Linked DNA regions of Xenopus tropicalis. The protein of the gene in region 1 interacts with the protein of each later gene in a pairwise test. Links are inferred from orthologs where the notes say so. Each region holds a gene or a part of one and is shown in the gene's direction. Other genes may lie near its edges. The genes, in order: ranbp9, mkln1 and oprm1.

Evidence for each region.
Region 2: the proteins of ranbp9 (region 1) and mkln1 interact in a two-hybrid assay, tested with the Homo sapiens proteins (2 studies listed by BioGRID). The link is inferred for Xenopus tropicalis from reciprocal best matches to the Homo sapiens genes RANBP9 and MKLN1.
Region 3: the proteins of ranbp9 (region 1) and oprm1 interact in binary tests that used the Homo sapiens proteins (3 or more experiments, as listed by UniProt). The link is inferred for Xenopus tropicalis from reciprocal best matches to the Homo sapiens genes RANBP9 and OPRM1.

The regions. Positions count from the first base shown.
Region 1 is NC_030682.2:91,811,675-91,815,328, reverse strand, and holds part of ranbp9 (ran-binding protein 9), read left to right. Parts: intron 1-215; coding exon 216-363; intron 364-1,351; coding exon 1,352-1,473; intron 1,474-2,035; coding exon 2,036-2,187; intron 2,188-2,818; coding exon 2,819-2,930; intron 2,931-3,654. UniProt on the Homo sapiens protein: May act as scaffolding protein, and as adapter protein to couple membrane receptors to intracellular signaling pathways. Acts as a mediator of cell spreading and actin cytoskeleton rearrangement.
Region 2 is NC_030679.2:85,024,980-85,028,633, forward strand, and holds part of mkln1 (muskelin), read left to right. Parts: intron 1-725; coding exon 726-828; intron 829-3,188; coding exon 3,189-3,243; intron 3,244-3,640; coding exon 3,641-3,654. UniProt on the Homo sapiens protein: Component of the CTLH E3 ubiquitin-protein ligase complex that selectively accepts ubiquitin from UBE2H and mediates ubiquitination and subsequent proteasomal degradation of the transcription factor HBP1.
Region 3 is NC_030681.2:43,442,893-43,446,646, forward strand, and holds the start of oprm1 (mu-type opioid receptor), read left to right. Parts: upstream 1-871; 5' UTR 872-1,360; coding exon 1,361-1,647; intron 1,648-3,754. UniProt on the Homo sapiens protein: Receptor for endogenous opioids such as beta-endorphin and endomorphin. Receptor for natural and synthetic opioids including morphine, heroin, DAMGO, fentanyl, etorphine, buprenorphin and methadone.

The DNA.
Region 1 (3,654 bases):
AACTCTGAAACCCAAACTGGGCAGTGTTCAAATGAAAATATTCTTAATTTGTTTAGGGCACTTACTGATATTACTGATTTGACTATCAATGGCTGTAATAGTCTTTGGCATAGCTAACATTAGTACATGTATCTGACATTAACGTTAGTACACAGTTATGTGAAATAAAAGGTTGGATTGCAGAACTGACACGTGTCTGTACCTCTGTCCCTCAGGTTCTGATAGCAACTGCAGCAATGGAATAATATCAAACAAGGCTCACCAGACACATTGTCATAGCAAATCACAGTCTTCTAACCTAAATGTAACGGAACTAAACAGCATAAACATGACAATGTCACATCAACTTAACAGCTACTCCAGGTGAGAAACCATGCTGTGTATCCTGCAGGCTTGCCTCCCCACGCTGACAAGTTTTTATCCCAGTGCACCAAACCGCAGACCTACACATTCTGCCACCACCCCCACACGCTTACTTTTCATTTCCCAGGCTTATGGCCAGAAAATAGGCTTCTCTCTTCTCTGCACCTCATTTTTATGTGTAACCTCAACCCCATGATGAATGGCTCTGCTGCAGTATGTTCCCTGGGGCTGTGCAATGATGCACCATTTTGTTTTGCTTCCCTTATCCTCTCCTCTGAGGTCAGGTACTTGCTGTGCTGCCTAATAGCAGTGGCTGCCTAGAAGCAAAGCAGCTTTACTGCTTCACATGGTGTGTGTCATACTGGCAGCCTGGCTACTCGGAATTCCAGCTGCTGCCAAGCACAGGCATAACATATAACAATGATAACAGAGGAGAGAACACTGTGTACTGGCCTTCCCTTACACAGACTTTCCCCTGTACAGTTTACGCTTTACTGCTGAGGGGAGAGAGGGGGAGGTCTTGCCTTCTCAAAAATAACTGCTGCATGAATAAAAGCACAATAAACCAACAGCATAGTATATTATAACATTCGCTGGTGTAGGCATGGGTGTGCAGGATTCGCCCAAATCCCAAAATACAGGATCTGGTGCATCCCTATAAGTTATTCCTTGGGTTTCTTAAACTTTTTTTAAATGGAATTAACATTGTCTGGAATTCCACCTCTACACCCAAGAACTGCAATATAATTCCCTGTCTCCTTTTAATTACTATGGTCTGTTGCAGAAGGACGTTTTACTGTTGATCAGGGTGACCCACTCTAAACAACAGAGGGACCAAATTTTAGGTCCCAACCCATGGGTTAAGAATCATTTTTGTAAATTATACCTAAATGAGCAAGCAATATCTGTATAAAGGATGTTACTTAATCTTTAAAGTTAAATATAACTGCCTGTCCCAGTGTGTAACAATGTGCTTTTCCTTCTTCAGTAATGATGTAGAAATGGAGACCGATCATTATTCCAATGGCTTTTCAGCATCCACGTCTAATGGCTTCCTCAATGGCAGCTCAAGGCACGAGCCTGAACTAGAAGAATGTGACACTGAGATGGGTCTGCAGCATTTTTATCTATATATTATAGGCATGCAAGAAGAAATAATGCAGCGCAGATAATATTTGCACCAAAGTAATCCTCTACACTTTGATAACTACAGAGCTCATGATATCCAGGGGTTTATTTATAAACACTGGGCAAATTTGCACCTGGGTAGTAACCAATATCAACTAATCAGTGATTAGCTTTTTTCAGCCAGCTGCAAGATGAGCAATTAAAACAAACATCTGATTTGTTGCCATGGGTTACTGTCCAGGTGCAAATATCTGCTGTTATGTAGAAATATAATTTGTAACTTACCCTGCATCATTTTTACAGCAATATGTTCTTTACTTAAATCTTGTATTCCCCTTTGAGTGATTGGATATTCAGTGTTTGCGTGGCTAAAAAGAACATGAATCTTTTCACCAATTGGAAGAACCAGGTCAGATTCCATAGTTGTTTAGTAGAATGTTTCTTTACAGGACAAGATGCAGGCAATGTCCTGCTTTGCATTAGGAATGGGACACAACCACACTGACATCTTAGTGCTAAAGCTGATTTATTGTTTTGGTTGCAGAAGTCGATACTTCTCATGGCCGACGCCAGCTGTGTGGAGGCAGCCAAGCCGCTGTTGAGAGAATGATTTGCTTTGGGAGAGAGCTACAAGCCATGAGTGAGCAGTTAAGAAGAGAACGTGGGAAAAATGCAACCAACAAAAACATGCTTAAGGTGCAATAGTTTTGGATTATGGTCTGTTGTTGGAATATGTATCTGGTGGTTTCTTGGTTCTTTCTAAACTAACGCACTCAGCGGCTGCTCTGGGTTTGGAGGATTCTGGATGGGTTAAAAAAGAACCACTTAATTGCAAGTCGGACTGCTTCACCTAGAATAGTTTGTCAGGGAGCACCAAGAAATGTCAGTCAGCATTTTAGTGCAGCATAGGTTAGTTATATGCTTTATTTATGTTAAAGCATATGTTAACTGATCATTCTAACTATCACATACACAAACTATGGTTATGTCCATCAAGAGCCAAATAATATTGCTTGATGGGTTTTTGGGTTTTTTTTGGGGGGGGGGGGGGTAATCCCTGGTAAGACCAATAAAAAAAATACCAGTCTTTTGGTGCCATCTTTCCCATGGAATCCTCATGCAGTTCTGGGTTTGGCTTCAGCCTTTCCTGGATATCATGATAAATAGAATGGGAGAAAGGTGTGCTCAACTCTAGTGCTGATGTTAATGTGCAGTTTGCTGAGCAGTACAGGGTGTTTGGGAAATCTCATGAAACTCATCTAAATGGCACTGAAGAAATGGTCCAATTGTTTCCTTATATTTCTCCTTTATTTTATCTTCTAAACAGGATGCATTCAGTTTACTAGCATATTCTGATCCCTGGAATAGCCCAGTTGGGTACCAGCTTGACCCCATACAGAGAGAGCATGTGTGCTCCTCACTGAACAGTGCAATACTAGGTAAGTCTCACTCTGTTTGTATGGCTTTCCCTGTGCATGGAAATCTGTCCATTCGAATTACAGCCAATGACATGGAATCATGCAAGAACTTATTCTGGGGCAGTAGCATCAAAACAATTTTTTTTTATACCTAAATATAGCATATATAGTTAGATTTGGGAAAGGAAATCTGTTTTGCTATCCATTCCTCCCTACTTTGTCAAAAGGCTATAACCTAAAATTGTACTGCAGGAAGCTAAGAGCAAGCCAAAGTGCAAACTCCCACCCTGCTGAAAATAAACATTAAGCATAATGTGTTCCAATAACAGGCACAGGATTTGTAAAGTACAACTAAAAGCTAAAAAAATATGGCTAGAAATGTTGTAGTAAGCAGCTATATAGCAGTACTGATCCAGGCTATAATAGCAGCTCCCCATCCTCTGATCCTGTTAGGCCATCTTTTAAATGAGTGTGACACTGCACATGGTCAGTGTTCTCTGGGCTGCGCTTGAGAAGCTGAGATTAGGGGTTGGGGGAAATCATCAGAATGTCAGCAGACAAAGCAAGAAGGTGCTACATGGCTTGGATTCAACAAACTAGACTGCATAGTCAGGACTCAGGACATATTTCAGCAACACAGAATCTGCAAAATCATGAAATCTAAAAAAAAAAAAATTTAATTGCCGAAGTGTTTAGAAGAACTTTAGCTTATGTGGGGTATTGCAGATAAACCTGTACTCTATTT
Region 2 (3,654 bases), on another chromosome or scaffold:
GTGATTTGACCTTATTATTTTCATCCAGATTTTGGTAATTTAGTGTATTCCATTGGCACCACTGAATGTAAGGTAGCTGCATTCATAAGATATAACTTAGGTCAATGAAATTTAAAATAACCCATTGCCACAACTTCATAATATCAAAAACTGTTTTATCCAGTGTAGGTAAAATAGCGTAGCTAATGGTAATGCATTGGTGAACATGTTCTCTTAATTGTATTCTGAATGGCAAACACATAGTTAAGCTCGAACACAGGGTTGGATGCTTACATGTGCCTGTGTGAGTACGGGCGCATTAGGAAGAATAAGGGTGTGTTTATTTCTGTGCTTCCCTGCGGTGGAACGCAGCAGAGGAAAGCACAGGCACAAATGCTTGTGTGTTTGATCCCTTATACTTTTACTAAAAAAAAAAAAAAGGATTGCTTTAGTTATGATCCATTTGTTAACTAGTGTAAGTCTACAAACAGGAGTAACTGTGGCTGTGGCTCATAAACCGCAGCCAGTGAATCAAGCCAGACACATAATGGAAGAAGAGTAAAATGCATTTTTTTTTTTATAAATACTCCCTCCAAAAGAAATATATTTTGCTTGAGACTTCTTTTGTATGTTAGGGTAGATTTATTATGCTGACCTTCAGTTAATTCATCTAGTGCTGTGTTTTCTCCTAGTTATGAATGTAAGGTGTTTAAATGTGTAAGCTAATACAGACATGCCTTACACAGGTTTGAAGAGCGTGCCCAGACGGAGCCCCTCAGTGCACTGAAATATTTGCAAAATGATTTGTTTGTCACTGTGGATCACTCAGACCCTGAAGAAACTAAAGAGGTGAAAAGTACATTTTTATTTTAGTACCAGCCGTCAGCGTGTGACTAAAAATCAGATTGCTATAATTTAAAGTAATACTCTCGTACTGCCCATAAACTCAGAATGCTCTGCAGCCACTAGTGCTAGTGTAGAATGGGGAGTAAGGATTCTCATGCAAAAGCAGATTTATTTATTTTTTTTTTTTTTGTTATATTTGTAATTTTACAAACATATATTAAAACTATTAGAAAGTGTCTTAACCAGAAACTACAGTAATGGGCTACCCCATAGTTTGGAAATCTATGCTCTAGTTAGCATTTGAGATCACCACAGATCTGCATCTCTGTTCTTTAGTGGAAAGGGTTTTTCTTGTGCACTGCTTCTGACAGACAGTAATGTTGTTTAAAATGATTTATACCAAAAACTGGTGTATTTTTTATAATAATTTAACAGTGGACTGCGGGCATGAATATGATCCATTACAACCAGCTGATTGTTGCATTTATAAAGATGAGCTAAAGTGGTTGTAATCTACTGCAGGTTTTACAGCTTCCTCTCCTAACTTACACATCTTTCTGCATCCCCAACTTTTACACACTGCTACATATGTCCAATTCCATTACACATCTTTGTAACTATTAAGTGGCAATGTGGAATGTATTCTAGTGCAACTTATTTACCTAGCTTTATAAATAACTAGGGATGCACTGAATCTATTATTTTTGAGTTCAGCCAAACTCAGGATCAGTCACGAAAGATTCGACCAAATTGAATCCGGACCCTAATTTGCATATGTAAATAGGGTAAAATAAAAGCGCACAGTCCCCCGAACCGAATCCTGGATATTCGGTGCATGTCTTTAAATAACCCCCTTACTATTGTTTGTACACTTTTACGCTATATGCACGACCTGTGGGTATTTTTATGTGAGAAATCACCTGCTATTTCACATCTTGCTACAGGGGAGTGCAAGAAAACCGCACCAGCCCGGGGTACCTGTGGCGAGTGTTTCCCCCTCCTTCTCGCTCGCTTGCGCATGCACAGTAGAGGGAAAAGCCGAACGTTAACACTCTTTTCACTCTACTGCGCATTCGCCGGCCCAGGGATTTTGCGGACAGAAGGAAGAGGAAACGCTCGCTGTGGGTACCCCGGGCTGGTGTGGTTTTCTCCTAACAGGGGCACCAGCCCGGGGTAAAAGGTAAGCGATTAAAGTCACTTGGGGGTGCCTAACATTTTGGCACCCCCAAGTGACTTAGCCTTTCCTTCTCCTTTAATATGCATAATGCTTTTTCCAAAGATGATCTGAAAATTAATTCTTCATAGCTGATGTCCGAGCCTTCCATACTTGGCCGGGTTAAAGGTCGCCTTCTTCTATTCAAAGTGCAGAAATATTTCCTGTACTGCATCTCTAAGATGAAGCATGGCCTTCACCCTATAGTGTCCTAACAATATTCAATTATTACTGTGCATGTATTCTGGTGAAATGTTTGTCTGTATATGAACTGGTGTGTTTTGTATTTGTATCCCTTTACTCTTCTAGAGACATTGGTGCTATAAATAAATATGATAGTACTCTTGCCATCGTCACAGTATTCATTTTATATTTGTCAATACGAATACTCAGTCTCTTTGTGCTTGTGTAATGCACATTCTTGATTGAACTACATAGGTTACAATGTACATTTGAATGCACTGAACTTCTGGCCAGTGAGGCATTAGGGCTCGCTTATGAATGCAGTGTGCAAAGTGCAATTTTGAGAGCAAGTAATGGTTTTTATCCACAAGGCAGCATTTTTAATATATGCAGACTCCACGGGGGAGATGTGCAGCTGGTGCTTGAAATGCATGCAATTGCATTTAGCTACATAACAGACGTAGTTAATAGCAGAAATTGCAATGTCACTTTCAGAATTCAATATTAAAATACCATGTGCACCCAATTTTGAGGTGTAAGTACACTATGGGGCATATTTATTATAGTGTGTAAGCCAACATCACTGGCAATTCTATTTTAGCAGTCGCCTACAAGTTGGGAAAGAAAAGCAAAGATCTAATTGATTTCTCTGGGCAACTTCACCGGTGATGTTGGCTTACACGCTATATTAAATATGCCCCTATGTCTACTAAGCACTGTTGTATATTCCTCTGTTAGCTCAAACATGCTTATTACATGAACAATTGTGTGTCATCTCTCCAAGTCATCAAAAATAGAAAATAATGACAAGGAGGACATGGTACAGTCATTCCTGTGTTGGGAATAGGTTTAGTAGCTTGGGTACTAAAGGGATTGGGCTTAGATGGGAAGTAGCTCTCTCATTTTTTCACTTAATCATCTAAATATTCAATTTTGTTTTTTTGTTTTTTTTGTTTTTTGTTAACAGTTTCAGCTACTTCCTTCAGCACTTTTCAAATCAAATAAAGACTTCACCCCACTTGGTAGGTAAAAAACAACAAACATATCTGCTTTTTTAACATATTTTCTATAGACCTCTGACAGCAACCAAACTCAGTACAGTGAATGTAAAAGGGCTCCAATTGTACCAAATGCCCTGTTCACCAAAATAGTCAGAATGCCTCAGTACAAAGTCTATGTCTGAATGCAATATAAACAAGTTACCCATTTTGGACAGTGGGACCTTTTGCTTGCTTCCTGACAGTTCTTGTTAACAATTGCTACCTTGTTCACCCCTCCGTCCCTTCAGTGAGCAGGGCACTACTGCTGTGCCATTATTTGGTAAAGCTAATATCATTGCAAGCTTGTGGAGTGTGAGCATGTACAGATGTGCAACATGTGACAACTGACATCCTCTTTATTTTGTTTAATCCTTGCCAGGTTTCTCCGATGTT
Region 3 (3,754 bases), on another chromosome or scaffold:
GTGTGTTTATTGGTTGGTTAGTGGGGTTAGTAGTGTGTGTATGGTTTGGTGAGTGGGGTTAGTAGTGTGTGTATGGGTTGGTGAGTGGGGTTAGTAGTGTGTGTATGGTTTGGTGAGTGGGGTTAGTAGTGTGTGTATGGGTTGGTGAGTGGGGTTAGTAGTGTGTGTATGGGTTGGTGAGTGGGGTTAGTAGTGTGTGTATGGGTTGGTGAGTGGGGTTGGCAGTGTGTATGGGTTGGTGAGTGGGGTTGGTAGTATGTATGGGATGGTGAGTGGGGTTGGTAGTGTGTATGGGTTGGTGAGTGGGGTTGGTAGTGTGTATGGGTTGGTGAGTGGGGTTAACAGTGTGTATGGGTTGGTGAGTGGGGTTGGCAGTGTGTATGGGTTGGTGAGTGGGGTTGGTAGTGTGTATGGGTTGGTGAGTGGGGTTAGCAGTGTGTATGGGTTGGTGAGTGGGGTTGGTAGTGTGTATGGGTTGGTGAGTGGGGTTGGATGTGTGTATGGGTTGGTGAGTGGGGTTGGTAGTGTGTATGGGTTGGTGAGTGGGGTTGGCAGTGTGTATGGGTTGGTGAGTGGGGTTGGTAGTGTGTATGGGTTGGTGAGTGGGGTTGGCAGTGTGTATGGGTTGGTGAGTGGGGTTAGTAGTGTGTGTATGGGTTGGTGAGTGGGGTTGGCAGTGTGTATGGGTTGGTGAGTGGGGTTGGCAGTGTGTATGGGTTGGTGAGTGGGGTTGGCAGTGTGTATGGGTTGGTGAGTGGGGTTGGCAGTGTGTATGGGTTGGTGAGTGTGTATAAGGTGGTGTATATGGTTTGGTAGTACTGTGCTGATAGAGGTAGTTAGTAGGGTGTATGGGTTGGTGCTGAGTCTGTACTCCTTTGTTTAACTCTTTGTAGCCCAACGTCAGATGAGCAAGCGACTCATTATTAGCGGAGCTGGGCAGTGTTAGTGCGAGTCAATTAGCGCCTGACGGCGGCGGGGAGGCTAATGGGGCTGCTGGTGCGGTGGCTGCTGGCGGTGAGGAGAAGAGAAGAGGCGGGGTGTATATAATAGGTGGATGCAGAGGGGACTAGAAGTGGAGGATTAATGCCTGGAAGAGAAGACACGCACGGCTCTCGCACTGTTGGGTACAGCCATTCCTTGCGCTTTCCCAGCGCTTTGCTATCACCCTCCTTGCCCGCTCCCTGGCCCCTTGCAGCTGGCTGAGCGCTTTCTCTGTGACTGACAGGAGAGGGGGGAGAGCAGAAGGGGCAGCAGTGCGGGGGGAGGAGGAGGAGGAGGAGAGCCTCATTGGAGCCACTCTACATCCAGCGCTCACATCCTAGCGCCTCTTAGCACCAAACTAGCACTCGCTAAGCTCAAAATGGACGGTACCCCGAACAGCTCCCTTCGATCTGCCGACAGCCTGCTCAATAGCACCCTTAGCGGCTTGGGTGACAATGGCTCTCAGATTCCAATGATATGTCCGGTTGGCGGCATGGGCAACTGGAGCAGACTGGAAGGCAACCAGTCATACTTGTGCAACCAGTCAGAGACTTTCCCGGAGGACAGCGATTCCATTATTATAGCCATCATCATCACCGCTCTCTACTCCATGATCTGTGTGATGGGACTCTTTGGCAACGTCTTGGTCATGTATGTCATTGTCAGGTAAGCACTTCACTCCTGATCATGTATGTAGTTGTATGGTAAGCACTTGACTCCTGATCATGTATGTAGTTGTATGGTAAGCACTTGACTCCTGATCATGTATGTAGTTGTATGGTAAGCACTTGACTCCTGATCATGTATGTCATTGTCAGGTAAGCACTTCACTCTTGATCATGTATGTAGTTGTCAGGTAAACACTTGACTCCTGATCATGTATGTAGTTGTCAGGTAAACACTTGACTCCTGATCATGTATGTAGTTGTCAGGTAAACACTTGACTCCTGATCATGTATGTAGTTGTTAGGTAAACACTTGACTCCTGATCATGTATGTAGTTGTCAGGTAAACACTTCACTCCTGATCATGTATGTAGTTGTATGGTAAGCACTTGACTCCTGATCATGTATGTAGTTGTATGGTAAGCACTTGACTCCTGATCATGTATGTAGTTGTCAGGTAAACACTTGACTCCTGATCATGTATGTCATTGTCAGGTAAGGGCTTAAGCCAGTGCCCCTTCCTTCATGCCTGGCACCCCACCCTGGCATTTCGCAGTCTGATGTCTCTCGCAGGCAGTGGGATTACTGTCGCTAATTGCTACTTACTAGAGATCATGTATTATTTAAGTGGATTCACTATAACACTGTATCACACAGTACATTGGGAAACCCACTCATTGCAAACTCTTGGGAGGAAAGGGGATGTGATCAAATCAAACACTAGCAATGTGAATTGTTTCATTAAGAAGCAATGATCATATGTATTTGCACAGATGTATATACTATCCTGTGTTCCACAAGTATCATACAGTGGGTGCCTTTTCCCTACTACTAGAGAAGGTGCATAAAGTACAATACTTCCCATCTAGATCCATGGTCTTCCTCTATGTTGAAATGAATATAAAGTTTCCCTGTGCCCAGTGGACCTGCCCTAGAGCCAACCTTCCCACAGGTCCCTCTTCCCCTGCTAAATCGTACACACGCTCATCAAAGGCTTGATGCCAGGAGCACTTAGATTATTTTTGGATAATAAATATCACTTATCAAGCTTCTGTTAAAATAAAGCAATAGATGAACTTAGAGATGATAGAATCATTTTGTTCCCATTATCAATACAGTATAGTATAGGTGTTGCTACAGAGAGATAAAGACATTGCTGTTAATTAAAGTAGTTTTATTACATATAACTTTTCCTATACCTATAATGATCAGTGAAACAGTATCAATATGTACACAGTGCCATCTATTGGAAGTGATAGTGACATCCTTAACAGGAATCAGGGAGTACGTTTTCCAGACCAAGCCATTGTGGCTAATAACATTGAACTGGAAAAAAATAGCAAACAAAAGCATTCTGTCCATTTTTTTGTTTTATGTTGGTGGTTTGCACCAAGGGGCCAGTCATACAAGTAGGCTGTTGCTTAATTCTAATTCTGTGCACATGTACTATATACAAGCGACATATCTTGGTGTGCCAAGTCAGCACTAGATGCTTCATTAGAGTGTCAGAGTGCAAGGCCTTGAAGATTATTTGGCTTTAGAATAAACATTATTTTTGTGTTACTTTATGTGCATTTTTCCTTTATTTACCTGTATTATTAGTCAATACAACATATTCCGCAATGCTTTTACAATGATTATACATTATTCCTAACAGTCCCTGCCCCAATGCTTACAGAGCTTACAATCTAGTCTTGATTGCAATCACACACTATGGTCAATTTTATCAGGAGCTAATAAACCTGTGCCTTGTATATTTTCCTTTATTCTTCCACAACAGGACACCTAAGGGCTCATTGACAATCAGTGGAGCAGGGTGCCTAGTCATGGTCACCTAAAGACCTGACTCTTTTTGGATTAATGCAGTACTGCCTGTCTTTAGCAGCACCATATTTATAAAGGGTTGCCTGAGGAAGGCAAGAAGGTGTCCACCTTCCCACTCACTACCTGCCCCCTAAATGGGCTGCCATGTTCCTGCCAGTGCAGAGCACAGTTATACCCCAGGGGCAAAGTGCTGAGTGAATAAGAAACTTCATCCTCCTTAGTGCACTTGTATCTGGCTTTTGTAAATGATGTCTCATATCAGTTCATTTGCGCTACAAACAGGG